Rhinolophus ferrumequinum: one gene and its partners. The protein of the gene in region 1 purifies or fractionates together with the protein of each later gene. This does not show direct contact. Links are inferred from orthologs where the notes say so. Each region holds a gene or a part of one and is shown on either strand. Other genes may lie near its edges. The genes, in order: BCL7C, SMARCA2, ARID1A and ARID2.

Evidence for each region.
Region 2: the proteins of BCL7C (region 1) and SMARCA2 purify together in Homo sapiens (affinity purification with mass spectrometry; 4 studies listed by BioGRID and IntAct, counting the BioPlex papers as one, with this or other methods). This does not show direct contact. The link is inferred for Rhinolophus ferrumequinum from reciprocal best matches to the Homo sapiens genes BCL7C and SMARCA2.
Region 3: the proteins of BCL7C (region 1) and ARID1A purify together in Homo sapiens (affinity purification with mass spectrometry; 5 studies listed by BioGRID and IntAct, counting the BioPlex papers as one, with this or other methods). This does not show direct contact. The link is inferred for Rhinolophus ferrumequinum from reciprocal best matches to the Homo sapiens genes BCL7C and ARID1A.
Region 4: the proteins of BCL7C (region 1) and ARID2 purify together in Homo sapiens (affinity purification with mass spectrometry; 3 studies listed by BioGRID and IntAct, counting the BioPlex papers as one, with this or other methods). This does not show direct contact. The link is inferred for Rhinolophus ferrumequinum from reciprocal best matches to the Homo sapiens genes BCL7C and ARID2.

Annotation. Positions count from the first base shown.
Region 1 is NW_022680357.1:424,634-432,373, reverse strand, and holds the start of BCL7C (B-cell CLL/lymphoma 7 protein family member C), read right to left. Parts: upstream 3,010-7,740; 5' UTR 2,695-3,009; coding exon 2,603-2,694; intron 2,077-2,602; coding exon 1,998-2,076; intron 1,669-1,997; coding exon 1,560-1,668; intron 1,483-1,559; coding exon 1,321-1,482; intron 1-1,320. Other genes in the region: CTF1 (cardiotrophin-1), read left to right, coding at 5,218-5,242, 6,439-6,557. UniProt on the Homo sapiens protein: May play an anti-apoptotic role.
Region 2 is NC_046295.1:33,833,274-33,840,855, forward strand, and holds the start of SMARCA2 (probable global transcription activator SNF2L2), read right to left. Parts: upstream 3,010-7,582; 5' UTR 2,855-3,009; intron 2,237-2,854; exon of another isoform or gene 2,113-2,236; intron 1,369-2,112; exon of another isoform or gene 1,026-1,368; intron 873-1,025; exon of another isoform or gene 479-872; intron 1-478. UniProt on the Homo sapiens protein: ATPase involved in transcriptional activation and repression of select genes by chromatin remodeling (alteration of DNA-nucleosome topology).
Region 3 is NC_046292.1:18,273,845-18,280,764, reverse strand, and holds the start of ARID1A (AT-rich interactive domain-containing protein 1A), read right to left. Parts: upstream 3,018-6,920; coding exon 1,902-3,017; intron 1-1,901. UniProt on the Homo sapiens protein: Involved in transcriptional activation and repression of select genes by chromatin remodeling (alteration of DNA-nucleosome topology).
Region 4 is NC_046293.1:47,892,988-47,900,053, reverse strand, and holds the start of ARID2 (AT-rich interactive domain-containing protein 2), read right to left. Parts: upstream 3,017-7,066; 5' UTR 2,526-3,016; coding exon 2,434-2,525; intron 2,319-2,433; coding exon 2,225-2,318; intron 1,164-2,224; coding exon 1,066-1,163; intron 1-1,065. UniProt on the Homo sapiens protein: Involved in transcriptional activation and repression of select genes by chromatin remodeling (alteration of DNA-nucleosome topology). Required for the stability of the SWI/SNF chromatin remodeling complex SWI/SNF-B (PBAF).

The DNA of each region.
Region 1 (7,740 bases):
CAGACATTCCCTGAGTCACATAAGCCCCCAAGCTGTGGGAGCCCTGGGGAGGGAGCCAGGCACCTGGCTACAACCCAGGAAGAAGACACAGGACGGGCATCCAGGTGGGATCTTGACAGGTGAGTAGGCAGGTGGGCAGATGGAGCATGTCTTAGGCAGAGGGAACATATGCTGAGCAAGCACAGATTCTGAGCAAGCACAGAACCCGGGCTCGACTGCCTGGGTTCAAACCCTGACCTTGGGCAAGTGATTTCATTTCTCTGGGCCTCAGTTTTCCCATCTGTAAAATGTGGATAATTATAGTATTTACCACTTAAAAGTTGGGAGGATTAAATGAGATAATACAGGTAAAGCGGGTAGCACACTGTCTGGCACATAGTAAGTGCTCAGTAAATGCCAGTTACTGTTTTTATGTCGGTAAAGATACACAGGTGCATGGCCCAGTCTAGACACAGCCCATACCACACCAAGTCATGGTGTCCTGAAAGGGGACAACAAGGTCAGCAGGGAACGGCTCACACGGCCCAGGGTGCCAGGATGAGGAGCCAAAGGCCACAGAGAACCATCGGAGGCTTTAGCTGCAAAATGACCCTGTCAGACTTGTGCTTTAGATAAAATGGCTCTGGCCACTGTGTGGAGGTGACTGAAGGGTAGGAGACCCTACAAGGAGGCTGAAGTCAGGTGTGGATGACCGAAGACAGAGCCTGGGCAGGGCCAGGCAGGTGGACAGTTGGCAGGTGGTACTGACCAGACAGGAAGGGGATTGACTCTGGAGAAAAGAGGAGCTGAGCGGGACTTAGGAGGCTGGCTCACCAGCTGCGTGAGCCTGGGCAACTGACTGTACTTCTCTGGGTGTAAATGGTGATTAAAAACCCTCACGGGGGCGGGGGGTGGTGGTGGGTCGTGAGGATTAGATGAGATAACACGTGTCAAGTGCTTAGAAGGGTGCAAGGCATGTGCTAAGAGCTCAGTAACGATCAGCTGTTATTATTAATGACTCAGGATGGTCACTATTATGTTTTCCGCAACAACCATTTATTGAGCACCTACTATGTGTCCTATGGTGCTCTGAAGTGAGCAAGGTCAATAGGAGCCCAACATTCAGGAAGCAGACGTGAGGTGGGAGGGGGGAAGAAAGACACTTAGGTACTAAAAATTAAATTTGCGTGAAAAATCCCACAGTGATACGTTATGTAGAGATCAGACGAAGTCAAAGGAAGGGACCCAGTGGGGTGTGGAGTGCGTGTACGGGGGTGAGCTTAAAATTGGGAGAGGACAAGACTTGAGAGGGCAGGGCTCCTGAGAGGCACCTGGTCCTACCTCTCTCCTGGCCCAGCCGTGGGGGCTGAGCTTCCTCTGAGACCCCTTCCGTTGGTCCAGCAGGTGACGCAGGGCGGCTGGGTTGGGGAGTGCCGCCAGGACTGGGCTCGGTGCCCTTTTGCAGGGAGCCTTCCGAATGGAAACTCTGGTTACTGTTCTCATCTGTGGGAGCAAAGGTGGAAAGGGTTGGGTCTGAGGCCCGCAGCCCCCTCCTCCCAAATCCCAGGATCCCTACCTACCATTGAGATCCAGCAGGATGAGAGGGCCCCCTCCTCTGGGACTGGCACCCCTGCCCCGCCGCTCCCGGCCTCTGGACCTCTCTGCCCCGCCACCTGCCCTCCGTCGTTCCTGGCGATTAGAGAGGGAAGGCTCAGAACCCGCTTTCCAGTTACCACTTGCAAAGCCCCCACTCTACAGACAAGTGAACTGAGGCACAGAGGAGCAAAAGGCCCTGCACGAGAGGGCAGAGAGGCGCACACTGGGTTAGGTCTTGAACTCCAGGGTCTGGCCGGAGCAGGAAAAAGGGAGAGCCAGCGGAGGTGCGCGTAATTGTTAACACCTGTCTGGGCAGCTGCTCTGGAGGTCTCAGAGTGCGTAGTGGGGGGGGAGGCCAGGATGGGGAGGGCCCTGCCTGTGGCGGCACAGACGCAGGGTCTGGGCTGGGGGGGTTTGCTCACCTCCTCCTGGGGGTCCACCACTGGCACCCACTTGAAGATACGAAGGGAAGTGTCGCCCACAGTCACCCAGCGCTTCTCCCTGTGGGAGAGTGGGGGGACTGGGTCAGAAAGGCCAGAGGACAGAGCCCCCGAGCAGCTGGACACATCTGGGGATACCTGCAGAGATCTGGGTGGTGCAAGAGGGAAGGGGCAGTTCTGCTAATGGGGCATAGAGGGAGAAAAGAGCCCCGCAGACCCCAGGGCATACATGGGGTGTCTCCAGTAAGAGCGTGGCTTAGGGCCATGGTTCGCAGACCCCTGGGGTATACTTGGGGCTCGCGGCCACGAGCCTGGCTGGGGATGCGGGCATACTTGCGGGAGGAGTGTCAAAGCTTTAGGAGGCGGAGCAACCGCTCTGAGAGGGCACGGCTGGGGAACACGCTTTGTAAACCCCAGGGTGTAGCCAGGATAAGGGGCACAGAGCCCTGTAGACCCAGGGCGCAGGTGGGGGGACCGGGGGAAGCGCACAGAACACCTGGGGCCACAGCTGGCAAAGGGAGGGTAGACGCCTTTGGAGGAGGGGCGGCCCCGCCATGTCCCGTCCCTGACCCCGGGACAGCGCTCACCATCTCCGGACCTTCTCGATGGTCGCCATCACCTTCTTGATGTCATCCTTGGCCCGGCTCCGGGTCTCGGCCCGCACAGTCCGACCGGCCATGCTGGCTGGGCTGGAGCCGAGGCCCAGCCCGTGGCTGGGCCGCCTCCCGTCCGGCGGGCTCAGGCTCGGCGCCAGGCCCGGGCGCCGCTCGCTCTGCCAGTCGTCCCTCCGGGAGTTGGCCGCGCCCTCCCTCGCTCCCCAACGCCTCCGCGAGTCCCCGCCCCGCTTCCTGCCGCTGCGCCCCGCCCCGGCCCGTCTCCGGAGCGGCCCGGCGGCGCGGACGTCCTGAGCCCAGGCCTGGCAGCCGCCCGGCCCCGCCCCGCCCCGGCCCGCCCCCTCGGGGCGCCCGGACGCGCAGCGCCCCCTGCCCGCCGCCCAGAGGGAGGTTGCCGGCAAGCTCCGCGAGTGGACGCGCGCGCGGCGGGGCTGAGGGGTGCGTTCAGACCACGTGGGCGCCAGGGGCGCGAGAGGGCCGGTGTCCCGGTGTGCGTCCGCTGCGCGTGGGCGTCCCTGAAACGCCGTGAGCGTGTGCGTGTCCACCCTCGCCAGACTGTCCAGTTGTACACTGTCCAACTGTTCCTTTAGCCATTCATTCAACAATCTATTAACTGAGTGCCAAGTACATGCCAGACGCTACATATGAGTGGGACTCCACCCACCAGAATGGCTAAAATGACAATGACGGACCACGGACCATGCATGCCAAGGGTAGGCGAAGAAGTAAAGCAACTTGGGCTTCTCACATTTCTGGGGGAGAGTAAACTGGTAGAGACAATTTGGAAAAGGCCGTTTTCTAGTGAAGCCCAGCATACACCCCAACCCTATGACCCGGCAATTCCACTCCTAGGTCAGTAACACCCAACCGAAAAGCGTCGGTATGTTCATAGCACCATTTATAATAGCCTCAAACTGGAAACAACCCATCAAGGGGAGTGGAAGAAGCCTATTCACGCCTTGGATGCAGCAAGGAGAATGACGTCCGGTTACACCCAACAACCGGTACAAGTCTCATGAAAGTAAAATACACCAGTACGTACTGTATGGTTCCGTTGATCGGAAGCTCCAAACAGACAAAACCAATGTATGGTGTGAGAAGTCAGGCAGTGGTCATCCTCAGGATTGAGAGGAGCTCAGAGGGGGCTCTGGGATCTGATCATGTTTCATAACCTAGGGCCGGTTCCCTGCAGGTTATTTACTCTGTGAAAATTCACGGAGCTCTACAGTTAGGAGGTGTGCACGTTTCCCTATGTACATCATACGTCAAGGAAAAGTTTACTTCAAAGGAGCGTGTCTTGGTTGGTTTCATTTGAGGCTGTGTTTGCCAGCAGATAGAACGCGTCTAAATTTGTGTTGCTATGTGTGTGCGTGTTTCAAGAGTGACTATTGTGCCTGTGCGGTTTGGTGTGATTTTGTCCACAGGGATTAAGGTGTAGGAAGGTGGTTATGACAGCATTCCTGGAGCCAAACTGCTGGGGGGAACCCCATCTGCTTGTCCAATGACCCTGGAGAAGTCACTTGTCTTCATGGATGACGTGGGAATGAGTTAAGCAGTGGATCGCTCTTAGAACAGCGTCTTGTACGTCATACTCAACACCCAGTAAATATTCGCTGTTAGTAAGTGTGTGATCGTGCTTGCTATCAACAGTCTGGCTTCACTGCACCTGCTGTGCCCTCTCCCTTCATTCTGGCAATATCCTCACAGACACACAGACCTCCTTCCCAGGCTCTTCACTCACAAACCCCATTACTTGTTGTCTGTGGCCTCCCCCATCAGACTGTGAGCTCCTCAGAGGACCAGAGACCAAGTATGAAGCACCTCAATACCAGGGCCCAAAACAGAGGGGCCCTGGTGTTTGTCTGCACCAGGTTAGTGGGGTTGGCAGTGTATGACTTCCTGTACCTGTCTCTGAAGCTTGTTCCTGTGTAAGAATGAAAGTCTGTATGTAGTAGAAATACTACAGTATTTCTATGTAGTAGGTGTGTCAGAGGGGTTCTCTTACTGAGCCTGGTAAAGTGAGAGGAGCTGGTGTATCTGTCCCCCTCCTGGTAGCTGTGACAATGAGACCAGCAGCACAAAGTATCTAAGGTAGGCCAGGCGTGGTGTGGCCCGAGCCTGAGGGCCTCCACCGGCCTCTCTCGCACCCTCTCTACCCCTGCTTTCCAGCCAAAAGGGAGGGGCACCACATTCCAGCCCTGCCAGCTCCACCCTCTCCTATCTACTCAGCTTTCTCCGAAAAGCAAACCGAGCACCCAAGCCTTGCCCCAGATCAGAGCCTCAGCCTCCTCCCGGCGGGACGCTGGGCTGCCTCCCAGGCCCGGGCGCCCCCAGCATCGAGGTCCCGAGTCCACCATGCAGGCAACCTGTCGCCCTCCTCAGGCCCGTTTCTGGACAAGGCGGCGCGGGCAGGGAGCTGAGCTCAGGAACAAGGAATCTTGCCTGGGGCGGGGGGTGGGAGGGCGGGGGTGGGTTGTTTGGGGTCTGAGCCCTGATTGGTTGCGCCCGGGCCACGCCCCTACCCTTTTCCCCCCTTCTCCCCCTCGGAAGGGGGGCGTGGAGGCAACCGGTATCAACCAGGGGCCAGCATGAGCCGGAGGGAGGGAAGTCTGGGTAAGGGGCTGAAGGGCCTGTGCCGAGTGCCCAAGGGGAGCAGGGGTCCGAAGGGCTGGAAGCTGGGGTCTGGGTCCCCACCACCCCTGGGTCCGGGAAGGGATCGTCCTGAGCGGAGGAGAGCAGGGCCCCGGTGTCAGGTAACAAGCGGTGAGCTGTGGGAAGGTGCTAGCGCCAGAGTTTAGAGGCCTGGGGCTGTGCTTTTAGGGACGTGGGCTCCAGGGTTAGATCACTGGTTCGAGTACACCCTGGGGGAGGGTGGTGGCTGGGGCTGGACGCCAGGATTCTCCTTCAGTATTGATAAAGAATCAGAGCTGGGGGCCACAGGGAAGGTTAGAGTTAGGGGAGGAAGTCTTTGGGTCCCGAGAGCTAGAAACTGGAAAGGAAACTGGAAAGGAAAGTCGAGGCTGTTAAGGATAGGGATAGGCGGTGGGAAACTCAGGCGAGGGGGACGAGTGGGGCGGGGATGGGGGTGGGGGGCGGGGTAGGAGTTGCGGGCGTTGACTACATTCCCCAGCATGCCCTGGGCGCTGCGCTGGGCGTCTCAGAAAATGTAGTCCTGCCAGGGAGCCACCCTGTAGCTTGTGCTAGGGACGGCTGATCGCTGATTCAGGCATTGATACTGCCGGTTACCCAGCCCAGCGCCTTCCACAGAAGGGCCATCAGGGAGGGAATGGGACTTCAGTCTCCCAGTCTGTAAAATGGGCTGAAAGGCACATTCCGATGTGATGTTCTGTGCTACAGAGATGTTGACTTCCACCCACAGTTCGTTGAGGTACAGAGATATGTGAGTCCTACTCTCAAAGGACTCCGAGGTGGAGGCCAAATCACATAGGTCAAAGAGCCATTAAAATAACTACCTTGGAAGTATGAACAAATGGCTTTAAGTAGAAGGAAGAAGTTAATTTAAAGGAGAGGTGATTCCCAGGCTGCACTGAGGAGACAGTATTTGAGTTTGGCTATAATAGGATTTCAACAGTGATTCGGAGACAGGGAACACATTTCCAGTAGAACAACCGTTTGGCAAATGTCTGATGCCTCCTTTCCCCTCAGTTGGAATGGGACAGAGCCTGCCTGGCTTCAAGTTGCACAAGTCAGAGCTGAGCTTCTGGGTTCTGGAAGGAAGAGCCAGCTTGACCAAAGTGGTCAAGGAGTAGGGGTCTGGGCTACCCTCATTCCCCCCCTTTTCCCACCAGAAGACCCCCAGGCTGACTCCTCAGTCTCACCCCTTCCGCTCTTGGAGGCCAAGATCCGGCAGACACACAGCCTTGCCCGCCTCCTTACCAAATACGCCGAGCAGCTGCTCCAGGAATATGTGAGTAGGGCTGGTGTGGAGGAGCCGGGGCCTGGGGAACGCGCAAGTCCAGCTCGTCAGGGTTCTTCACCACCCATTCTCTCGGCCTCGTTTCCCAGCTGCAGAAATGGGGGCTCCTACGAGAGCTCAGTCACTTGCCCCTGGCCACACATTGGAGGCCCATCTCTGTGCCTCCAATGCCCTTCCAGCCACCTCAGCTTGTAGGCTCCCTCCTTGGGGCTTAAGACAGAGGCCGCCTGAGAGTGAAGAGAACTGCACTCTGTGAGTCAGGAAACCTGGTTTCTAGGCTCTGTGTGATCTTGTCACCTCACCTCCATGGGCTTTGGTCTCCCCAACTGTAAAAGGATGAGCTGTGAACTCTTCTACCAGTGCGTGGCCGAGAGACCCAGAAGGGGTTTCAGTACAGGGGCAGAAATTCCATCCCAAGAGGGGACTTTGACAAAGGAGGGGAATCTGTCAACGTCTTTGGTTGGGCAGAAGGCCCTGCCCAGGGAAAGAAGATATTTCCCCAAATGACTCTTGTCGTGGAGGGAGGATACAGTTTGGAATCAGATAGACTGTAGGTCTGCCTGCCGCCATGCTGTGACCTTGGGCAGGGATGATAACCCTAAAATAAGGATGTCACCATTTTGACAGTAAGTAGTGGGATTATAGAACTACCTTTGTAGTCCTGCCGACTTTGGTTCAAATTCCAGCTCTGTCCCTTCCTAGATGTAGGGCCTAGGGCCTCACTGTATCTCGTCAACCGCTACATCTTCACTTACAAAATCATCATTACCACACCCATCATTGGGAAGACGAGGAATAGGGTGTTAGAGCAGTAAGCACAATGCTGAACCCGAGGCAAGATGTTAGCAAAGGATAAATGGTTTTGTTATAGCAGTTTGACAAATTACAAATCACCTTTAACTTTCATTTGTTCATTCAGATGACAGTTATTCATGGAGCCCCTGCTGTGTGCCAGGCAGGTACAGAGGTGGGGAGGAGGAAGGGAGGGAGGGAAACAGACTTGGTCCCTGCACTATCTGTGTGATTCTCAGGAGACGCCTGGTAGGGAGACAGGACAGGGAGTGTTTCCCCATTTTACAGATGAGAAGACTGAGGCTCAGAGAAGGGAAATGGTTTTGTGGGAAACCAAACAGCTAGTAAATGGTGGAGACAGGATTTGCACACTGGGGTGTAA
Region 2 (7,582 bases), on another chromosome or scaffold:
CCATGTGCCACTAAAATTACATAACAGCCTGTGCAGACATTAAAGAAGGCATGGATTCTGCACAACACCCCCACTTCCCTCGACTCCCGAGCCTTGTTTTCTTCTCTTAAAAAATCCAAACCCTGGCAAGACCAAGTGAACGACTCTAAATACTTATTTTATTGCTAGAGTAAATCCTGCGAGAGTTGAAGGCACGTTTAGGCCCGAAGTTTGAAAGTGCAACAGCCCCAGAGCGCAGCGACTCCACTCTCCGGACCCGCAGGAGAAAGAAATGACAAGCGACAACAGCCAGCAAGGCCTTCGCCTTCCTCCGCATGATGCCTCCCTCTAAAGTTTTCCACGCGATCGATCGGAGGGAAGGAGCCCGTTTCCTCCGCCTGCCTGACTGCAGGAAAAGAGAGCGGGGAGACGGGAGGGAGTCGGCAGGGAAAGTGCTGGAAAGCTCCGCACACAACAGGCGGCGGCGAAGGTTGCTTACCTGGGCGACGCGGAACAAAAAGAGGAGCCGTGGCTGTGCAGCTGGCGACCCGAAGCGGGTCTCCCCGCCGAAGCCCTAGGCCTGCGCGGGGTCCCGCGGCCGGGCCCCCGCCGCCGCTTCCTCCCTCGCGCGCGTCATGTCACGGCGATCAAACATGTCTGTGTGCGCTTCGCTGCTGTGACTTCCTGATTCTCTGCCGCTCGGGCGCGCACACTCACACTCACAGCCACACGCACACTCCACCCCAACCAGCCCCCTCCTCCAAATCTCGCCAGGTCTTCCCCGAGCTCCGGGGGAGGGCCCGCGCCCTGCTCCCAACGCACTGGACCCGGCGCGCACAAAACACACACACACTCACGCGCAGACACCCTCGCGCCCGCTTCGAGGGCGCCGAGACGCAAGCCGCCGGAGCTCGCCGCCCTCTCCTACCCCTCCACCCCCCCCACCCCACTTAGCTGCCCTGCCAAACTTTTTTTTCCTGCCTGATCCGCGTCCAACTTCCCTCCCCCAACCCCCACCCTAGCAGCCCAGCCAGCCCCGCGCTCACCAGGATCCGCCGCAAACAGCAACCCGGATAAAAATAATAATGCAATCCTGGCGGCCGGGGCAGGGGCGAGCGCCCAGAAACTGGCAGGAGGCGATTTCCCCGCGTGTACCGGAAACCGGCCCGAGTGCCCAGACAAGGGCGCGGGTGTCTCCGCGAGCCCGCACTGCTGCGCCCGGCCCCTCTCGGTGCAACTACGCCCAGGCTGCGAGGCCTGGTGCGGGGCACCCTTGGCACTGGACTCTGTGTGCGCCCCGCAGCCGGAGGGCGCCTAGGGGCTGGCGCGCCGGACCGGTTATTTGGGGAAGTGCATCTCGACACCTTTGCAGATGGCATGGCCATGTTTTGCAACACAAACGGGAGGAGGGAAGAGGGCCGGCCGGATAGAGGGAAGAGCAGAGGAAAGGGTAAAAAAGGTTGGAATGGGAATAAAGCAACTCGAAAGCAGGGAACGAGAAAGAAGGGGTGCGTGTCATCGTTGGGAGGAGGCTCCCATCGGGTCTCCCCGCCTCCAGCCCTCGCCTCCCCCCCCCCCCCATTGCTTCCCCACCCCCCCAACCCCCCGCAGCCCTTCCCCTTCTCCGGCGAACGCCACCGCTACTGCCGGCGTGCGCGCGGGTACTGTTTGTGACAGGCAGAGAGGATTATCTGGATCATGGCCTCCCGGTCCGCAACCACCGTGGCTCTCCCGGGCCCCAAAGCGCCCCTAGCACCCAGACGATTTGGGGCGATCTATGCCCGCGGTTCCCGCGGTTCCAGCTTGGGGAAGGCGCAAAGCAAAACAAGACAAACCCGGGTGCAGGGGGAGGAAGGGGAGGAAGGCAGCGTAACTGAGCCCGGCTGGCACCTCCGACCTCCTTCTTCGGTGCCTCCTCCCTCCTTCCCAGCAGTGCGGCCCGGGCCCGACACCCCGAACTTCAACACCCGAGCCCGCGCGGCTGCCAGGTACCAGGGGCAGGGACGCCCGCAGAGCCCCGGGCACAGCTCCGCGGCGGCCCCTTCCCCTAAAGGCCTGCCTACGGGTCAGCATTCCCATCCCCGCCCGAGGGAACGCGCAAAGTGGAGGTGACACCTCCGATCCGACACGCACAGACCCCGCGGCGGTGGCAGCCTTCTGCTCGGCGCGCCAGCTCAAGCTTCTCCTGCAGGGTTCCGCTCAGGTCTCCGCAGCCGGAACCCTTTAAACTAGTCCCCGGGAAGCGGGTAGCAGCCGCTTTGGTTGGCGCCCCGCCGCAAGCCCGGGCTCCTTGCCTCCTTCTCCCGCTCCTCTTCCAACTCTTCCGGGGAGGACTGCTCGGGATGAACTGTCGCGTTTCCATCCTCCTCCTGTATCCTCCTGCCTTCCCCTCCTTCCCACCCCCCACCCCCTCCGGCTTTTAAGGGGTTGGGGGGGGGACTGCAACCTTGCCGAGTGTGTGTATTGCAACCTTGAGTTGGCAGCGCATCGCTGACTGCCTACCCAGGGTCAAGGCTGTGGTTTGTTGGGAATTCCCCCCCACCCCGCCTCCTTGAAGTAGTAATTATTACTGTTATTATTAGAACAGCAAGGTTCGGTTGAAACTTTCCCGTTTCTTCCACCGCCGCCCGGGTGCTGTCGTTAGAGCATTCCACCTGAGGCCCGCGGGGAGGAGGCGGGCTTTTTTTGTTGTTGTTGTGGCGGTTGGCCCGCCTATTTGTTTTGGTCTCTGTGCATGCACAATAAATAATAATTAGGATAATAATGAATAATCCCCGGCGAAGGCGGCGCGGTGCCAGAGGGGTTTGTGCGGCGGCTGCAGCCGGGAGGCCGGAGGGAGGGGAAAGAGGAGAAAGGAGTTGTAAGTTATATTTACCTTGCTCGCGAGGAGTGTGCTGGCTGAATCTCTTCCCTCTCTGAGTCACCCAGAGTACAGAAACAGAGGGAGAGAGGACTAGATTATGAATATGACTTCATTGATGACAGCCATCCCCTCCTCTTCCTAAACTCCGGCTCCGCCCCGCGTCCCACCCTCAGCCTCCTCCACAGGCGCCGGAAGACGCGCCGCAGTTGGCCCCGCGCGCCGCTCCTCCCTGCCCGCCCCAGCGCGGGTTGGTGGGACGCGCCTGTCACTCGACCCGCTCAGCGACTCCGGGAGCTCGGGGGGAGGAGGGGGCGGTGTGCAAGAATGTGGACGGAGACAGCTCTACTGTATGCGTGGATCGGTGTGTGTCTGCAAGGCGCCGGCTCTCGAGCCGTGGTTGTGCCTGGAGCAGAGAAACTGCGCAGGACGCAGAGAGCCCCAAGGCTTGATGGAGCTGGGCGCCCGTTATCCCTCTCCGGGTAGACCTCTTCCAGGGGCGCTGCCGGGCTCCTCCCGGGAAGCTGGGGAAGCGGAGGAGGCGAAGCGAAAGGGGGAGGGCAACCGTAGTAATAGCGTGTAGTAGTTTGGGGGTATGTGAAGAAGGTGCTGGAATTTAACGGTGCCTCCGCCTGCCAGAGCGAGCCTGCAGAGGGAAAGGGAGGGGACACGGGTAGGGCTCCGAGTGGCACCAAAGCGGTTTGTGGCATAGTGTTGACTGTGGGGGGGGGAAGGCATTGTGTCGGCTGAAACTTTTTCCTCACTCCCCCCGCCCGCGACCCGAGGCTGCAGTTATAAATCGGCCCCCTTCTCCCCCATCAAAAGGAAGGAGGGCACAAAGAACATTCCTGCCAAATCTACCTCTTTTCTAAAGGACTGCAAGCTTCCAAATGCCAATGAGGGGAAAACAGCTGAGAGGCTGAACGCCTTATAAATAAATAAACCCGCCCTAAACCGTCTGTTTACTTTGTGGACCAGACACAGCACTTTGACCTCCCTCACTTGTCATCTTCGGTAAAATATATTCAAAAATTTGGAAAAACAACCCTGTGGGGGCAGGGCGGGCGGGTTAGGGGGCAGTTTAAGCATAGAATCTGCTTTTGATTTAAGAAGGGGAATAAATCTCTTATTCTCTACAGACCATAGAATCTTCTCTCCCACCCCACGTTTAAGACCAATTAGGGCTACAAACAGTAAACTGCTGGCACTTTGCGGTTTTGAGACCTCTTGTTCCAATTTTCCTTGAAATACAGTACTTTGGCGGGAGGAACAGGTCAGTGTTTGCTGAGACAATTTTATTTTTAGTTTTATGAAGTGTGAAAGAATGTTAGATTTTAAAATCAGGGGCCTATTATTTTAGACTCAGATTAATGACGGTGCTTGACTCTTAAAATTAAAACTGTTCCTATACTGTACTGTTCTGAAAAATATGATTTATCCCTTATTTTGTAATGTAATGGTTTAAATTAGTCATTCAAAGTGCACAGTGACTACTTGGTTGAGGATGTTTCCCCCTAGAGTAAAATCCTATTTTAAGGCCATTTTACTGTTGCAAAATTGACTCTATTTGAGCAATCAGGTCTGAAATGCAATTCTAGGATGCTTAAAACTATGCAGTGGGTACACTGAAGACACAAAGCAATGAAAGAACACCAAATGCTGCATGTGGTCATTAAGTGGCGAGAATTGTTCACTTTGCTGGTCCACTGCTTGAGGAAGGACAGTCTGCAAGGGCACCACTTTCAGGTGGCTAGGTGTGTCAAGGATCACCCACCCTGTTGTTTTTCTAAGGCCCTGTTATCTTGCTTGTCAACTTGAGCTTCATAATTTTCTGCCTATCCCAAAAGTGAACCTCAAGACAACAAATATAACACATCTAAGAGAAATAAAAAACAGTATGCACTGAAGAATCTTTTGTGAGAACTTCGTTTTCTGCCTGAGGATATGCCAGTATAACTGTTAACTGGGAAATACACAGCCAGAAGTCTTAAACAAAATTAGCAATGTAGTAAAAGTATAACTTCTAACTGCCTATTAAATTGCAACTAATAATATAGCCGGATAATCTAGTTATCTACAGAAGGACTTTAACCTTATGGCAATACTCATTACATTAGGTAATATTAAGTTTTAATTTTGGTGGACCTAATTTGTTTCTCTGCCATGTCAACCTCACAGGCCAATTTTTAGAAATTGATGACTTTACCATTATTTCCTTGCGCATAAGTGCCCTTTATCCTTTTAAGATTCTACCTCCACCTGCCATGCCAAATTTCAAAAAGAGAACAATCATCTTAGTAAGAAACTGGAGTAAGAGATTGGCCATTTTTTTCTGGCATTTTGTTAGAAGGAAAGTAAAGAAGAAAGTTGCCTTTGTTCCATGTATATATTCTTCAGCTAATACAAAAGTTTGATGCATTACCTGGAGGGATGGGTATCCATGCATTATATGCAAAACTATGGGAATTGAAAAATAAAATCTATGATTGGGAGCAGAGATTAAATACAGATATTCCATCTCCTTTTCCCTTCACATTGGTCTAAGAAAACACCACCTTATTTCAGGTCTTTTCTCTAAAGAATCGTCTTGTTTGTAGCTTATACTGTAGCAAGTAGGAATATTATAAAACAAGACCTACACTTAGAAAAAATCAAAAGGCAGCACCATTCACTCATTATGAAAAGATTGTAGAACATATAGCGTGAGCTTTATCTCTGATGTAAAGCAAAACTTAACAACTGATGTTAAGGAGAAAAAAGATGAGGTTTTTTTGTTTTGCAGAAAATCACACAAAAGCAAACATGGTTGGAGGTTAAAAAAACTGGGAGGCCGCACAGGATGCTATATTCACATGAAACTTTTCCTTTTGGACTTAGATGAGTCATAATGCGTTCTCTGAACTTGCTCTTTCTAGTTTGGGATCAAGGGCTAGAAGTCACTTTTTCATGTCTGTATGGCCACGTTCACTTTTTATGTAAGTCTGTTATGGTGGACATTCTGTATACGGTAGATACTGGGTTTGAAAATCGGTATCACAACACCCTCATGAAGAAAATTTCCATGCACAAAGATAGGAATCTTCTAGTCCCACTAGGCAAACTATTAACGCTGACTGAAAGAAATGTTGCCTAACTTCAAATGGGCTTGAAGGTAAGACCATTTAAGGCATGAGTGCTTCATCTGCAGTAATGGAAACGAAACTCTGACAAAGTGAACAGTTGACATTTAATTTAGAGAGAGTTTAGAATTAGCAAGTAAATTTATTGCAGAAATAAACACTCCTCTCTATCCTTTTTTTCTAGTCAATCGTCTCAGAAGATTTTGTTTCTCTACAATCACTCCTCCAAAATGCCACCCCAATTCTTTTTGTGAGCATATTACTCTCTAGCTTAAAAGCTTTTGTCTGTTCCCAATCCATCATAGGATAAATTTCAGATTTCTTAGCGTGTCATCCATCCAAGGCAGTGTGCATGGACAGATCTCTCTGCTAGGCTTGTTCTCCTTCCCCAAATGCCTAAGCTCTGGAAACATGGTCTACCACCTGGTTCCTAAGGGGCCATATTGGACATACATTCCTCTGACTGAAATACAGGTTCTCAGTACACATACTCCAAGAGTCAGCTATGGCCCAGCATCCTTCCAGTGGCCCTCCTTGCCCTCCTTAGGCAGAGGAAGCCACTTATCCTATTCTGCTCCCATAGCAACCAGTGTGTATGGCCGTTACAGCACTTATCACTTTGATACGATTATTTGCTATCCTCCACTAGATGGTTGGTGCCTGGAGGGTGTAAAGCAAGTTCAATTCATCTTTGAAACTTCAGCAATTAGCTGGATGCCTAGCACGTTGTACAGTAGTCCCCCTCCAAATCCAGTTTCGTTTTCAATGGTTTCAGTTGCCTGGAGTCAATCCTGGTCCCAAGATATTAAATAAAAAATTCCAGAAATAAACAATTCATAAGTTTAAAATTGCACTCCATTCTGAGTAATACAATGAAAGCTCACGCAGTCTTGCTCTTTCCTATCCAGAATCATCCCTTTGTCCAGCGTTTCCATGCGGTATACATTCCCCATATGTTAGTAGCTTTCTAGACAATCAGGTGGACTGTCACTATATTGCAGTGACTGTGTTCAAATACCCTTTAGTTTATTTAATAATGGCCCAATATCACAAGAGTAGTGATGCTGGCAATTTGGGTAAGCCAAGGAGAAGTCATCAAGTGCTTCCTTTAAGTGAAAAGGTATGTATGTGTAGGAAAAAACAGTATAAATAGGGATCGATGCTATCTGTGGTGTGAGGCATCCACTGGGAGTCTTGGGACATATCCCCATTGGCAAAGGGGGACTACTGTATATTGTTAAAGAAAAGGAAAAAAACTGTTGAATGAAAGGATGAGAGACATATATTAAAACTGTCTGACAGAGAATTTAGCAGGTCTTCATTACTAATTATCATGTTAATGAACAAGATTACTAAGTGTTCTGAAGCTTTATGATGTTTTCCAAGCTGAAATGCTGATGATATGTTTTTCTTTTGTTTCATTTTGTTTTGTTTTGGTGGGGCATGGAGAAGGTGGGAGGTGAGGAGAATCAACTGCTCTTGCAGTCAAATAAAGAGCATTGAGAGGAGGTTTTGTTTGTTCGGATCTTAAATTAGTCTCAGAAAAACATGAATGCTTACTTGATAATTGTGTGATAGAGTAGTATTAATTACAACAGCAAGTCTCTTTTAATGAGTTTTAAAA
Region 3 (6,920 bases), on another chromosome or scaffold:
GGGAATACAGCTAATTAGCTGCCTAAGTGAGCCTAGTACCACAAAGGTAAACTGAGTACTGCTGGGAGGGGAATATGCAGGGAGCTTTTGGAGCTTTCTTCCTCCTCTTTGCAAAGATACATGACTCCATAAAATACCCACTATTTCTGATCAAAGCATTGTAAACAGAACATGAAGAGGGAAAAATCGCAAAATAAAAGAGAACGCATAAAAAAGTACCTGAAAGTTGTAATTTCTAAGCAAATTTTAAGTATCACTGTAGGTCCTATCTTTTTATCTTGCAATATAGAAAAAAAAAGAAACATACCTTAAAATGCAAAGAAAAAAATTGGTTGTCCTCTATTTTAAAGCTCTAAAATGACAAAATAGAAAACTAGCCTTTTTGATATTCCAGGAACACCAAGCCAAGTCTTTAGGATAAACTCCCTCTCAAGATCATGAAAGATGTCAGCTTCCCTTTAAATTGAGCTGCTTTACCAAAATTCAATTAACAAAAGAGTGTTAAGATTCAACATGTAAACAAAGAATGAGGCCAGCTTTCCTTAAAACAGAACTCTTGAACCTAACATGAAATTCTCTGAAAGCTTCTAGTTCTCAAAAAAAAAAAAAAAAAGTTTTCTATTATCTCCTCCCATAAAGACCCTACATTTGGCACTCAATAAAAAATCCAGTAAAATAATTTCAATTCTGCAAAGTGAACAGGGTCAAAATTACTCAAGACAAACGGATCCTCAGAGCCATCAAAGAAGTCATTTATACCATCAGAAAAGTCACAAAACCAAAACAAACAGCAAACCCATTGTAGAGAAAAACCCAGCTACTGTTCTGACAACACAGAATCTATTTCAGGCTGCATAAAACATAACAAGCAAAATAAATCCAAGGTACAAGCAAAATGCCACTGCCTCCTCTTTTGTTTCAGGCACAATGTAACAAGGGCAGCCTGTCTGGGGCTCTGCTCCTGCTGATACAGTATTGCTGCTTAAACCTCCCTCCTCAAGGTCACAGCCAATTTCAGCTCTGGAATAAAAGGCAGATAGTGGCAGCGATGGTTTGGGTTATCACTGGCAGAAAAGCAGAGTGTAAAAGTTTATGAGCTCATCAGGATTGTTGTACCATTACATCAGAGGCAATTATAAATGGCCAAGAGCAGGAGATGGGGAGCCAATCAGATCACAGATAGGATGTCAACCTAAGACCAACTGTCTCCTGGCTTTGACAGAAGGATTTTACCTCCATAATTCAAATCCCAAACCAAAGCAATCTGCACTTACTACTCCAATCACTCAGCTGTTTACCAGCACTTCCAGGGAGAAGCCCAGGCCACTGGGCCGAAGGAGACTAAGCAGGAGGTGGCCCAAGCTGCCCTGGGTGAACCGCGGCCGGCCTCTAGCTGCCCCCAAGCAGGCCCCTGCCCTCCCTCGAGGTCCCCCCGAGTCTGAGGGGCCCCTCCTTAAAAGCACAGATGGGGGACGGCCTGGAGGAAGGCAGGGGGGGCAGAGAGGAGCGGCAGGTGAGCAAAGAATTGTTCACTTAACACCTGAGCTCCTAGCAATGCCTGCACCCCTAACCTGAGCCTCCAGCACCCCCTCACCCCTGACCAGGCCCCTTCCCCGCACTCTGCCCCGCACCCCCTTGAAGACCCCCGGAGTTCAAAGGGACCAGGGGAGAGGGAGAAGGGGAGCAGACACCTCAGGGAAAGCCCCACACAAAGGCTGAAGGAGGGAAGGAAAGGAAGGCAGACAGGCAGCCATTTTAAGAGAGAAGAGCCAGACAATGGCAGCTCCCCAGCAGTGGGGGCCCCGGACTGGGGGTAGCCCACGGCTGTGGCCTGGTCCCCGCAGCCGCCACCCACTCCCCGGACCCCGCTCGCCCCAGCCCCTCCCCATTCAGCAGTGTACCTGCGGGGTCCGGGCGAGCGGCTGCCCCCCGCCGCCGCTGCTCCCGGGGCTCATGGGCGCGTGGTGGCTCCTTTGTTGGGCCCCTCCCGAGGCAGCTGCCGCCGCCGCCGCCGCAGCAGCAGCCCCCCAGCACTGCGAGGCCATGTCCGCTGGGCCCTTGCCTGCGCCCCCGTCCTGGGGCCCGCCGCCGTAGTCGCCCCCGGGGTAGCCCTGGTAGCCCCGGGCCGAGCTGGGCGACGTGAGCAGTTGGTTGAGGGTGGGGGTGGCGGTGGGCTGGGGGGTTCCCCCGCCAGCCGCTGAGGGGCCGCCTCCCCCCATGGCCCCGAAGCGCTGCTGAGCGAAGGACGAAGACGACGAGGAGGCGGAGGCGCTGGAGGAGGGAGGCGGCTTGGAGCCGGCGGTCGCCGCCGCGCCGGAGCCCGGAGTGCCACCTCTCGGGGAGCTCAGCGCGTAGGCCTGGGGGGGCGGGGGGTAGGCGCTGCGGTTGGGGTAGTAGGAGTTGTACTGGTGGTTGGGGAAGCCGTGGTCGTGCGAGTTCTGCTGGGGCCCCGTGTAGGGCTCCAGGCCCCCGCCGCCGCCGCCGCTCTGCAGCGCTGCCAGGCCAGGGCTTTGTTGTCCGCCATGTTGTTGGTGGAAGACGGCGGCCGCCGCGGCGGCGACGGCAGACGGGCTCCGGCCGTAGGGTTGCCCGAAGCCGTAGGCTGGGGGCGGCAAGGCGGCCGCGGCTGAGTGAGGAGGCGCCCCCACCCCATCGCTGCTGCCGCCGCCGCCGCCGCCGGGCGGCTCCGTGAGGTTATTGTTCAGGGCGGGCCTAGGGCCCGCGTTCCCGTTCGAGTTCTTCAGGTCCGGCTCCGCGCCGGGCCCGCCGCCGCCACCCCCATTGCTCTCGGCCCCGTCCTGCAGCTCCTTTCCCAGCGGCTGCGGCGGCCCCACGGCGGGGCCCTCGCTTTCCTGCCCGGTGGCTGCCTTCATTTCCCCGCGCTCGACCGCTGCCGCCGCCGCCGCCTCGCCCCCCGCCTCCTCCCGCTGCTGCTGCTCCGCTTTCTTCAGCTCCGAGGGCGGCGGCGGCGGGTTGCCCAGGCTGCTGGCGGCGGCGGGGGCGACCTGCGCGGCCATGATCCCCGCTGTCTCGTCCGCGGAGAGACCCGGCCCTGTCTTCGTCTTCTCCCCCCCTCCCACCCCGCCCCGGGGCCGAGTCCCCCGGGCTGCCCTCCCCACCCGCCCGGGCGGGCCTCGCGGGGCTCCGCTGCTGAGCTGCGCTCGCTCGCTCACTCCTCTCCCCCCCGCCCCGCCGGCTCAGGCTCCGGGCTGGCGGCGGCGGAGGAGGAGGAGGCGGCGGCGGCCGAGGCGCCGGCGGCTCAGCTGCTCCCGGCTCTGTAGGCTCGGGACCCGGCTCTCCCGGCTCATTCCCCCCAAGCCCTTGCCTGGGAATGAGGGGGGCGGTGGAGGCTCCGCTCCCCAGGGCCTGGCCCCGCTGTGACTCTCCGCTTTCTGCTGCCGGAGAAAGGAGGAGGGAGGGAGGGAGGCGAGGGGGAGGGGGCGGGGAGGGAGGGAGGGAGGGAGGGAGCGGGGGGAGGGGGACCCGGGACGGGCGGGCTGGAGGGCGCGCAGCGGCAACCCGGGCGCCTGGAGTCAGAGTCGGAGCGCGGGCCGGGCGCCCTGCCTCCCCTCCCCGGCCGCGACGCGGACCGAGGCTGCTGCGCGGCAGCGGGCGGGCGAGCGGGCGAGCGGCCGGACTGAGCGGCTAGAGCGCCCCACTCTCCTCCGAGTCCCCCTCACTCCGACACGAGGCTCAGCACTGCCATTTTACCCAGCGCCGTCGCGGCCGCCTGGCAAACCCGGAACGGAGCGCGGAGCGGGCGCAGGCCGTGGAACGGACTCGCTCCCTTCCCCTCACAAAGGAGGAGGGGAGATAACCAGCCGCGGCGGCAGCAGGCCCTCTGCCGCTTTCGCTCGGCAGCGCCGCCGCCGAAGGCTTCGGGGAAAACCCGGCCCGGAGCTTGCGCCTTTCCGGAACCTGCGCCGCCTTCCTCCCGTCGTTCCTATCCGGGTCGGTCTCCTCTAGGCCGCACCGAGGGGAGCGGGCAGCGTGAACTTTACTCGCGTCTGCAGAATTGGCTCAGCCTGAGATCGCGGCCGCCTCAGGCCCAGGCCTGACCCTCTGGCAGTGGGCCTGGTCTCTTGGCTGCTACTTAGCACTTCTACCGTACTTTTCTTCTTCAAAGCCTTTTACAAACCCGCTCTAACGACCCAGCTGAGTGAGAGAGTGGACCTTACTTTTAAACCCCTTTGCAAGCCTAATGTAATGACATAATGACATATTATTGTTCAGACTTTCCGTTTTCCCTCTCCCTTGCCCTCAGTAACAGGTCCTCACAAGGCCCTGGGGGCATGAGGTCGGATTATCCCCATTTTACGGAATTGAAAGAAAGGGGAAGGGACTGCTCCATCACTTAAAGTTAGATGACAGAGGAGAGTGGCTTTAAAAAGTAGCAGAGTCCCCAAAGTTGCCCTTGTCTACTTAGCCTTTAAGCCTTTAAAAAAAAAAAAAAGTCAAGTTGTGTCATATCCAACAATGGGATCTGATTATCAGAATGGATTTGAGATCAAAGCTGGTCATCTCAATACTGTCTTAAAATGCTCACCACTGAAGCTACTCTGGGAAATATGACAGCCTTCTAGCTGAACCCAAGCCTCATCTTTGTCTCCTAAGAGAACATAGCCCACAGTGACCAATATCCCGTCTCCCAGTACAGTACCTGTGAGCCTATAAACAGACCACAGAAGAAGCTATAAGGGATGGAGGAATGTGAGTGAAGGAACCACTGCAGAAGAGGAATGGCTACACAGAATGGCTAAAAGAAAAAGGGCAGTCTGACATGTCACTGAGAAAATGGATGCAACCCAATTTGTTTTCTATTCTCCATTGAAAAGATTCTTCAAAGTTTTACCATTACATTCTAAGAGATGCAGATTGAGCTGGAGGCTTACATATAAAACGCCGGATCTACAGGCCCAACCAAATCCCAGCAGCAGCCTTTTCCTCCTCAGGCTGACTTGGAATGCTCTGATGTGACAGGCTACAAAAGCCAGAGGAGATTCCAGCGCCTCACCAGGCCTAAGGCTGCCTTAGGAAAAAGAAGCCGAGGTCCATGTAGTCACTAGCCATCAGGGCCTCTTCTCTCCTCAGCTTTTACAAATGGAGACTTCTTGGCCACAGAACTATTATCTTAGAATTTCCAGATTCTGCAGGCCCCTGGAGTTCTGTCTGTGCCACTGGTCACCATGAATAATTCGAAAAACCTGAACTCATCCCTATCCCTAAAACACTTAAGAGCATCCTACACTAATAAGACAACACCTTCCTGTCAATCTAAGAATGGTGTTCGCTCACCCCGCCCTCCTAGGAAGGAACCAAACGCCAGGACCTGACTGACTGGAATGGGCCAGTGCCCTGTTTCACTCAGTCCTCAGGGGCAACAACTCTCCCCATGCATTAGGTCCTAGAAGCCAAATTATAGGCTGCCTCATAAATGGAGCTTGGCTATTTAATCAACTGCCTCTGAGCTGGCAAACAGTCCTGGGTCCCGCACACAAATGAGGAATTTTTTACATGCAATTATCCTGCCATTTTCCTCAGAGCTTGAGTGTAATAGGAAACCCAGAGCCCAGTGAAAATCTGGAAGCCAGAATGGGTCTCTCCAGAGGAAGCCCTCATCCCTTTTCTTCAAGGGCTGTGAAATTCGCAAAGTGTCAAAATCCCTTTTCTACACGTGGGCAAGCTGTTTAGAAAACAGCCACCATTTTTATTTAACAATGAGGTAAAGTGCACAAAAAAATCTATCCACCTGGGTTGGAGGAGGTAACGTGGGATTTCTCCTTTTCCACTATATATTTTTTAAATCTCAAATCCTTTATTGTTCTTTTACACCCCTACATTTAGAGCCCCACACCATTATCCCAGGGACTGCGGAGTTGAAGGGGAACTTTCTTAGAAACTGGCCCATCAGCTTTCCCTAGGGGCAATGGCAGCGGGAAAGGGGGGGAGGGGCGGAGCTGGGCACGTGGCTGGCTCGAGCAGCGAGCCCTAGGTTTGGGTCTATGGGTCTTTCCCTCCGTGGAGTTTTCTCCCCTACGGCCCCTGCCTTTTAACCCCACACCCAGGCAGCGCAGGAATCCCGGCGCAGATTAGAGAACTAGGACTAGGACAGCGCGTACCCTCACGAAAGCGCCTCTGCCACCAACAGCCTGATGGCAAATATGGACTGAATCGTTGACATGGAAACCGGACTAAAGTCTCGCTCGCTCCCTCACAAGAGAGTTCTTATCACCATCCCCGACCGCACGGCACTAGGCAAACGTGGACTGGATTTCCCGCCCGGAGGATCAGGCGGAGTTTCTGCGAGCAATATAACTCGTGGCTGCGGCAGCCAAGGAGGGGGGCAGGGCTGCCAGGACAAACTGACTGAAAATGGCAGAGGATGTGCTCTCATTTTATGGATTCGGCTCGAGAACAAGGGAACAACATATGTTAAATCCACGCAGTCAACTGCAAAATGTGGAATCCAGGCCTGAAGGGTTTGCAAAGAGAGGGAAACGTTTGCAGGGTGGACAGCCCTTCCTCTCTCTCAATTTGTTTCCCCTAAGTGTCCGAAATACAAAATTCAACAAACAAAAGATTGAACTCGGCTCCTTCCTTTACCCACTCCTCTTGGGGGAAGATGTTTTAAGCCCAGGGACCCAGTGAGGATTTGCCTTGGTTCTGAACTAAGGCGCGGGGACTCGGTGGAGCGCCAAGTTGTGGCCCCCACATGCGTCCCCACCGCGGCAAAAAAGCTGACACCCAGCAGAGCTCTCTCTAGTGCGAACTGGAGCTGCGAGTTTGAGCAAAAGGGCAACTATGTCAGTTGACGGAAGCCAGGAGCAGAGTTCAAAGCCTGGCGTGGATTTCTTTCTGGAGCTGTCTGTTTCTTAAAGTTTGCAACTCCGTGTTCAGAAACAGCCCCAGCGGAGGCTTTG
Region 4 (7,066 bases), on another chromosome or scaffold:
TCCTATTTCAGAATGCTAGACATAACACAGAATATCTACTTTGATATTGCATTTGGAGCAATAAATGCCAAACTCAAATGATGCAGAAGCCACGTTATCTAAAAACGACCATCCCATAATATCATTATTAAAAAATAATAAATATGAAGAGCATTATTTTAGTTTTAAATAACAATCACCAACTAAGGACCCTTTATGGGTAAGTAAACATTAAAAATAAAAGATGACCTCATAATAAATTACAGTATAAAAATATGCCTGGGAGAAAAACATAAAGCTAAATCACAAAATGTATCATCTAAATTGTATCACATACCAACTGAATAAGAAACTTACTTGGTTTAAAAAAAGTAAAAAAAAAGGGGGGGGTGGGGAAAATGAAAGAAAATCCAAATCATAGTATTTCCTTTTATAGTATCCCTAATTTTCCTAAATATATAATAATCATTTTGAACATTTTTTACTAATTCAAAAAAAAAATATTCTAAAAACAATCCTAGTCATTAAAGCACCAACATGTTATGTTATGCTATATAGAAATATTCTACTGAAAAACTACTCAGTGACACGGTTCCACACAAAAGGTTTCATTTTTCTAAAATCTTAAAGTCAGTATTTAAAAAGGCAAAGGAGTTTCCAAAACAAAGAAAAAAATTCCCAGGGGATACAAAGTTTCATTAACTATCTTAACTCTTTTACTAAGCATCATCTTTCTGCTCCTCTGCAATCAATAACAATGTCACAAAAGAATGTTTATCAAGATGGGGGGAGGGGTGTCACCTGTAATAATTCTGTATGAAAAATGTAAACAATACAAAAATAGGTGGGGAAAACTTTCACGATCCTACAACCTCACTTTATAGATATTTAATGTTTCCCAGATTGAAATGAACAAGTTTAGAAACTGGTATGCAAGGTTTGTTTTGTGTGTGTGTGTGTGTTTGTGTGTGTGTGCGCGCGCACGCGCGCGCGTGTTTGTGTGTGTGTGTGTGTGTGTTTCCTAAAAACAAATCTCCCCATAAGTCCCTTATTTCCAAATACTGTTCAAGAGTCACTACTACTCACCGCAAGTAATACTGTTTTAAAGCAAAGGCAGCGTTAGAACAACTTCTGGGAAAGTTGAACTCTTCAACAATTTCTCCCCACTGATTCTTCTCAGAAACCTGTTAAAAACACAGCCACGCTTGTCTGAAAATGCACAATCCAAGAAAACTCTAACCTAACTATGAAATAAATACCCATTCTACAGAGATCTGTAGATACCCAGGCATCAATGGGTGTTTCGGATCGATCCGTAAGAGTTACTAAGCAAGAGCTGCTTGAATCACTGTGTTTTCACCCAGGAACCCTGTATTTAATGGCACTTGTTTTGTTTGGGGGGTGGGGGGTGTCTGGTGGGTTTGTTTTGTTTTTGAAGCCCGGACAATAACCAATCGCAAGTCCCTCTGTCGCCCCCTTTTAAATCTCAACGCGGTCGGTTTACACTAAAAAAAAAAAAAAAAAAGTTCAAAAGGATCAATACTGCTCCGGACAGCGACGTCCGCAGGTTCTGGGGGGGCCGGGGCCGGGGCCGATTCACATCCCTCTCCCAGATCTATCCATCTCCATAGGCCCTTCTTTGAGGCCTACAGCTTCTGCCTAGCCTTGAAGCCTAAGATGGCTATTTGGAGACAGGTCCTGGTTTCTTTTGTTAGCTGTATAAACCGAGGGCGACGGGGCCGAGGCTGTGCCCCCGGCTGCCGGGATCATTTCGCAGCCGATTATCGATGTTAAACCTGCCCGCGCTAATTTTGAGTTGCACGAAAACTGCTCTCAGAGTCTGTGTCTCCGCCTGTGCTAGAGCGGCAGCGGCGGCAGAACTGACTCGCGAGCGAGCGGGCGGGCGCGGGCACGGGGCGGACGCGGGGCTTCGGCGGGCGCCCCGCACGCCCGCACTCCCCGCCGCGGCGCTCAGACCCCGCCGGGCCGGCGGGGCAGCCGGCAGGGCGCGAGCCGGCGCCGGGCCGCCCGCCCGCCCGAGCCCCGCGCCCGCCGCGCGCACGCGAGCCACCAGGCCAAAAACAGCCCCGCCGCCGTCCGCCTCCGTGCCACCGGCTGCGAGCGAAAAGAACGCCTTTTACCCCCGCGAGCCACCCCCCTAGCCCCGAGCGCCCACTCCGGGGTCAAAGGAGACTTTTTGGAGGAGGCCAGCGAGAGGGAAATACAAATTAAAACTTCCACTCACCTTCGCGAATCCGCCTAAAGTAGTGACTCTGGTGTAGAGACCGTGAAGATCCAGCTCCTTCCCACCCACCGCAGGGATTTTTTTAAAAGGCGACCTGCGGGAAAGAGAAAGCCCCGCACTTGTCAGCCGGGACCCCACGCCCGGCCCGGACGGGAGAGCCCCGTTCGCCCCGGCTCGCCCCGGCGCTGCCCCCCCGGTTCTGCTCTCACCCTCTGCTGTGGTGGAACTGCCGCAGCTCGTCCAGGAAAGCGAGTCCCTTTCTCCGCTCGTCCGGAGGCGCCTTCCCCGTCGAGTTTGCCATTATTTTTTCAAAGGAGGTTTTAAAAAAAACCCAGATCGGTGTTTTAAAAGCGCCCCCCGCTCCCTGCGCTTCCTACCAGAGCCCGGAGCCCATTCCTCGGCCGGCGGCGGCGGGGCTCAGTCATGGGCCGGCGGTGGCGGCGGCGGCGGCGGCGGCGGCGGCGCAGGGAGGGAGGGAGGGAGGGGGAGGAGGAGGAGGAGGAGGGGAAGGAGGGAGCAGGAGGCCAGGGGGAGAGGAGGGAAGGAGGGAGGGGAATTTCTAAAAAAGTTTAAAGAAATCGGAGCGAAACTAGAGGGGCAGGCGACTGCCGGATCCGCGCGAAGCCGCGGGGCGAGCGCGGCCCCCACCCCTTCCTTCCCTCCCTCCCCGCGGCCCGGCTCTCGCCCGCCTCTCAGCGCCGCCGATCCAGGCGGCTCGGCCTGGGGACGCGATTCAACATGGTGCTGCTGCCGGGGGCGCGCGAGCGAGCGAGCGAGCGAGGGGAAAGGCGAGCCGACGGTGAGGGGCCGGGGCGACCGGAGGCCCTGGAGTTTCGGCGGCCGCGGCGGCAGCGGCGGCGGCGGCGGCGGGGCTGGGGCAGGCGGGGCTGGGGGTGGGGAGGGGGAGGTCTGTGTGGTGGTTTGTGGAAAGCGGGGTGACAGCGTGTATTCCGGCCGCAGCTCCGCGGGGCCCTCGCACACATTCACGCGCGGCCTCGGCCGGGGCGTCCCCGGGCAGAAGGCACCGGCGGCAGCCGAGCCGCTGCGCGCCGCCTGCCCGCTTCCCTCCCCGCCAGCCTCCCTCTCTGCTGCCGCCAGCGCCGCCGCCACGGCCGGGCTGCCAGCGCCGCGCAGCGACCCCCGAGGGCCGGCCGCGGCACTGCGCCTGGCTCCACACCGCCCCGGCAGCTCCTCGCGGGGAACAATAGACTCGGCTCCGGGTTTAGGGTTCATCTGCAATGTGCCGCACATTTCACACGCACACAAAGCCGGCGGAAAGGGGGGCGGTGCGGGGAAACGGCCACTACCGGTTGTTCCAGGGTTAGGGGTGGAGGCAATGTTCGCGTCCTTGGCCCGGCTGTTGGAAGGGCTGCCTGGGAGTCCCCCGCCCGCTCGACAGAACCGGTGTGGCGCTCGGGAGGGAAAGGAAGCTCAGAGGGGCAGCTCCTCACGCTACGCATCGTTCACAGATTGGAATAAAGTCAATTTGTTACCCTTTTTTTTTTTAAGGTGTAAATGAATCGGCTTTTCTGAGCCTTGTACTGGTGTTTTGGGGCCTGGTTAGCACATTTTCCACGAATTATCCACAAACTAACTTTAGCAAACTATAAATTAAATACAATGTGAACTGTCCTAGTTCTGTGGAAATAGAGTAATGCTCTTAATTCATCTTGCCTTTGGTCTTAAACTAGATTATTCTATGCTGAGTTATGCAAACTGTAATTAAACTGATTGGGAAGCAATCTTTTGAACTTTGACAATAATGATTAACGTTTATATTTTTTATATTAAGTATCTTAAAGATAGATGGGCTTAAATATTAAATATTGAAAATGTTTTTCCTTTCTCTCAAATGTCTTAAATGCGATCCTCGTTTAGATATTTTTGAAGGTTAAAAAAAGGCTGCTTAAAAGGGGAGATTCAACATCTCAACAAATACTACCTCCTAAGTTTGCAAGGGGTACTGGAGTGGGCCCTTTGCTACAAGTGTTAATTATGCTTCACAATATGTGAAACATTATTATTCCCATTTTGCCACCATGGGCAAAGTCACTGACTAATCCAAGGTCACAGGCTAGTAAATGTCTGCATGGGTTATTATTTCAGGTGGTGGTTCCAATGGGAACATTTATTTGGTGGTGAGAAAAATTATGTAACATAGTCCAGTCTGCTTCCGGCGCTCACTCTAGGAAACGGATTTATTTCTCAAGTAAAGTTTATCTTTTAAGTGGGGTCGGAATAAGGCTGTGGCTAGGAGGTTCCAGACACCCAAGGGCCAGTGAATGTCTCGGAAGCCTGTGAGGGGCGGAGACCCGTCCGGGGGGAGTGGAGATGCCGGGCCGCACGGAGGCGAGGGGGGCGGGGTAGGAGGGAGAGACCTGGTCATTTGTCCTTTCCCCAACCGGTCCTCTTAGGGGTGGTGGAGATGTGGGCCGCAGAGCTGCGTGGCCTGGGCTGTGCGGATTCCCTAAACGCCGCACTTGTGCACAGCCCCTTACGTAACTGTCAGCGCCGGGGATTCCCTAGAGGGGGTCATTCTATTCAACCATTACACACACCCCGGGCTCCTGCCGCCGCGCCGCCGCCGCCTCACAAAATGGCGGCGCCCATAGAGGAGACAGCGGCCGCCTCCTCGGCCCCATTTTGTGGGAGGCGAGAGATCTGTCAACATGGAATACCTCCGCTGAGGATGCATCCGACTTTGGAAATCCTGCTTAAGTGATGGAGCCGAGGGGATCTCCTTCGACAGAAATTGTCAGCGATTTCTAACACCTCTTTTACTTTTTAAATTTTTTTCGAAGGAAACACCAGAAGCCCCGGGGGTAATTGTAACTAAGGAGAGAAGAGAAAGCTGCGGCTGACTTTTCCGGGGACTTGCCGCGGCGTCTTTGGTGGCTTTGGTTGCTCTTCTACGCTCTCGGGAGCTGAGTGCGATATTGCGGACGGTCGCCTGGGCCTCCCGGCCCGCTCCGAGGGGACAGGAACCGGGCGACGCGGTACGGCAGCAAGGTTCTCTGTCGCGCCACTTGTACAGCGAGACTTTTTTAGTAGTTTTTAAATGTCACAGTCTATGGCCCTGTCGGGAACCCTAGTCTGAGTCGTGGGTTTAGGATCTCCGGAGGCCACTGCTCCGGGAACTCGCGGTCGGCCGGGAGCCGGGGAGCCGTGTTGCCCGGAGCGGGCGGTACGCGCGGATTCCGGCAGTCCCGTCGCCCCGGGTGGTCGCGCGGTCCGGCCCCGGGCCCTGGATGGTGTCGATGGGGCAGGATTGGGAACGAAGCCACATGCACTGAAATTTAAGTCATACGAGTCGGGACCTAGAATGTCTATGTTAACAATGTCTCAGGTTAGACGTTGAAACGTCCTTTCTGGTATCCCACTCTGCAGTGGGCAAATCTGGTTGTCTTGTCTCTCATTCAAAGGGCAGAATGGAGGGGTGACATTTTATATTTTTGTTTTTCAAGGGGAGGTAGCCACTTTTAAGCTACTGACTGCTTCCTATTAGTTTATTTTTGTGTATATACGCACATGTATATACAATAGTGTGTTTTGCTTTTCAGTACAAGTGTCAAGGCTAAAGACCTGGAGTGTGATAGTAACGTTTTAATGCCTTTCTTTAAAAATTTAAAATGTAACTGGAGAATGGACTCTGAAAAAAAATTCCTTTTCTGCAGAAGAAGCTGTCATCTACAAAATGGATTCCGAAAGATGTCTGATGGCTAGAATTTAAATTAATAACACTTTGAATATGCTCTAGTCAAAGAAAAAAACCTGATATTTGTAAGATTATTACATGGTTCTACTTCCCCAATACTAGAAAAATGAAAGGCAAAAGTAAGCTTAATATATTAACGGTATTTGCTTGTGAGAGGAATAGAAAGGTTTAAGGAAAAAGGAGATTCCTCTGCTGAAACTTAAATACGCGTTACACGAATAATTTATTTCAAATGTTATTTTCAGTTGCAGCAATCATTTGTATTTTTATATGATTTTTTTGAGGTGTTTAAGTTGATTTTGACCTTCATATTTTTTTTCTGACGCACAACTGCATCTTTATGCAGTTTGCGCCTCAATCACAAAGTTCCATGCCCCATCCTTTGCCACACCCAGATTGCTACTCCTGGTGTGTGAATTACCAAGATACAGTTACTGATCATGTCTGTTGCTACTGATGTTCTTTATATTTAATAAATTTGGTTACCACTAATCAGCCTATCTCTTGCAAGAATACCCTATCTTAGCACTCAAAGTACCCAGAGAATATTTTTTATGGGATTGCACTAAAAGTAACCTTAGTGCATACCGGTAGTGTAACATTTCTTTGTACCATATTGCGTTTCCTATAGTGGGCAGCATAGAGCAGGTGGATCCTGGAAAAGAAATGTTAGAGATGTCCGACAGTTTTACGATATTCTCTAATTTAATAAGATATAAAAAATGAAATGTACTTTGTAGTTTTCAAGCATTAATGGAAAACATCCCTATAAAAATTACCAATAACTGGAAATTGTTGAAACTATATTTGTATAATTTACTGTTCTGATGAGAAATGTTGGCCAAGCCTTTTTGGTGTGAAAATGCAAAGTGTTGTTTTTAATAGTAACTGCAAACCCCGAACACCCTAATTAGAGGTTTCTATTATTTTATATAAATCTCTGATCCTTATCAGTTTTAATATATAACCAAGAAGTTGTGATGTTTAAAATTCCCTCGATTCATTCAAGTAAACTTAAAAAGAAAGCTTTACCAAATTTCAAAACAAGCATGTCAGGTATATGATTACAACAGCTGAAAAAACTTAATTGAGGAATTAATACGTCAATTCATTGGAGAAATTTTTGA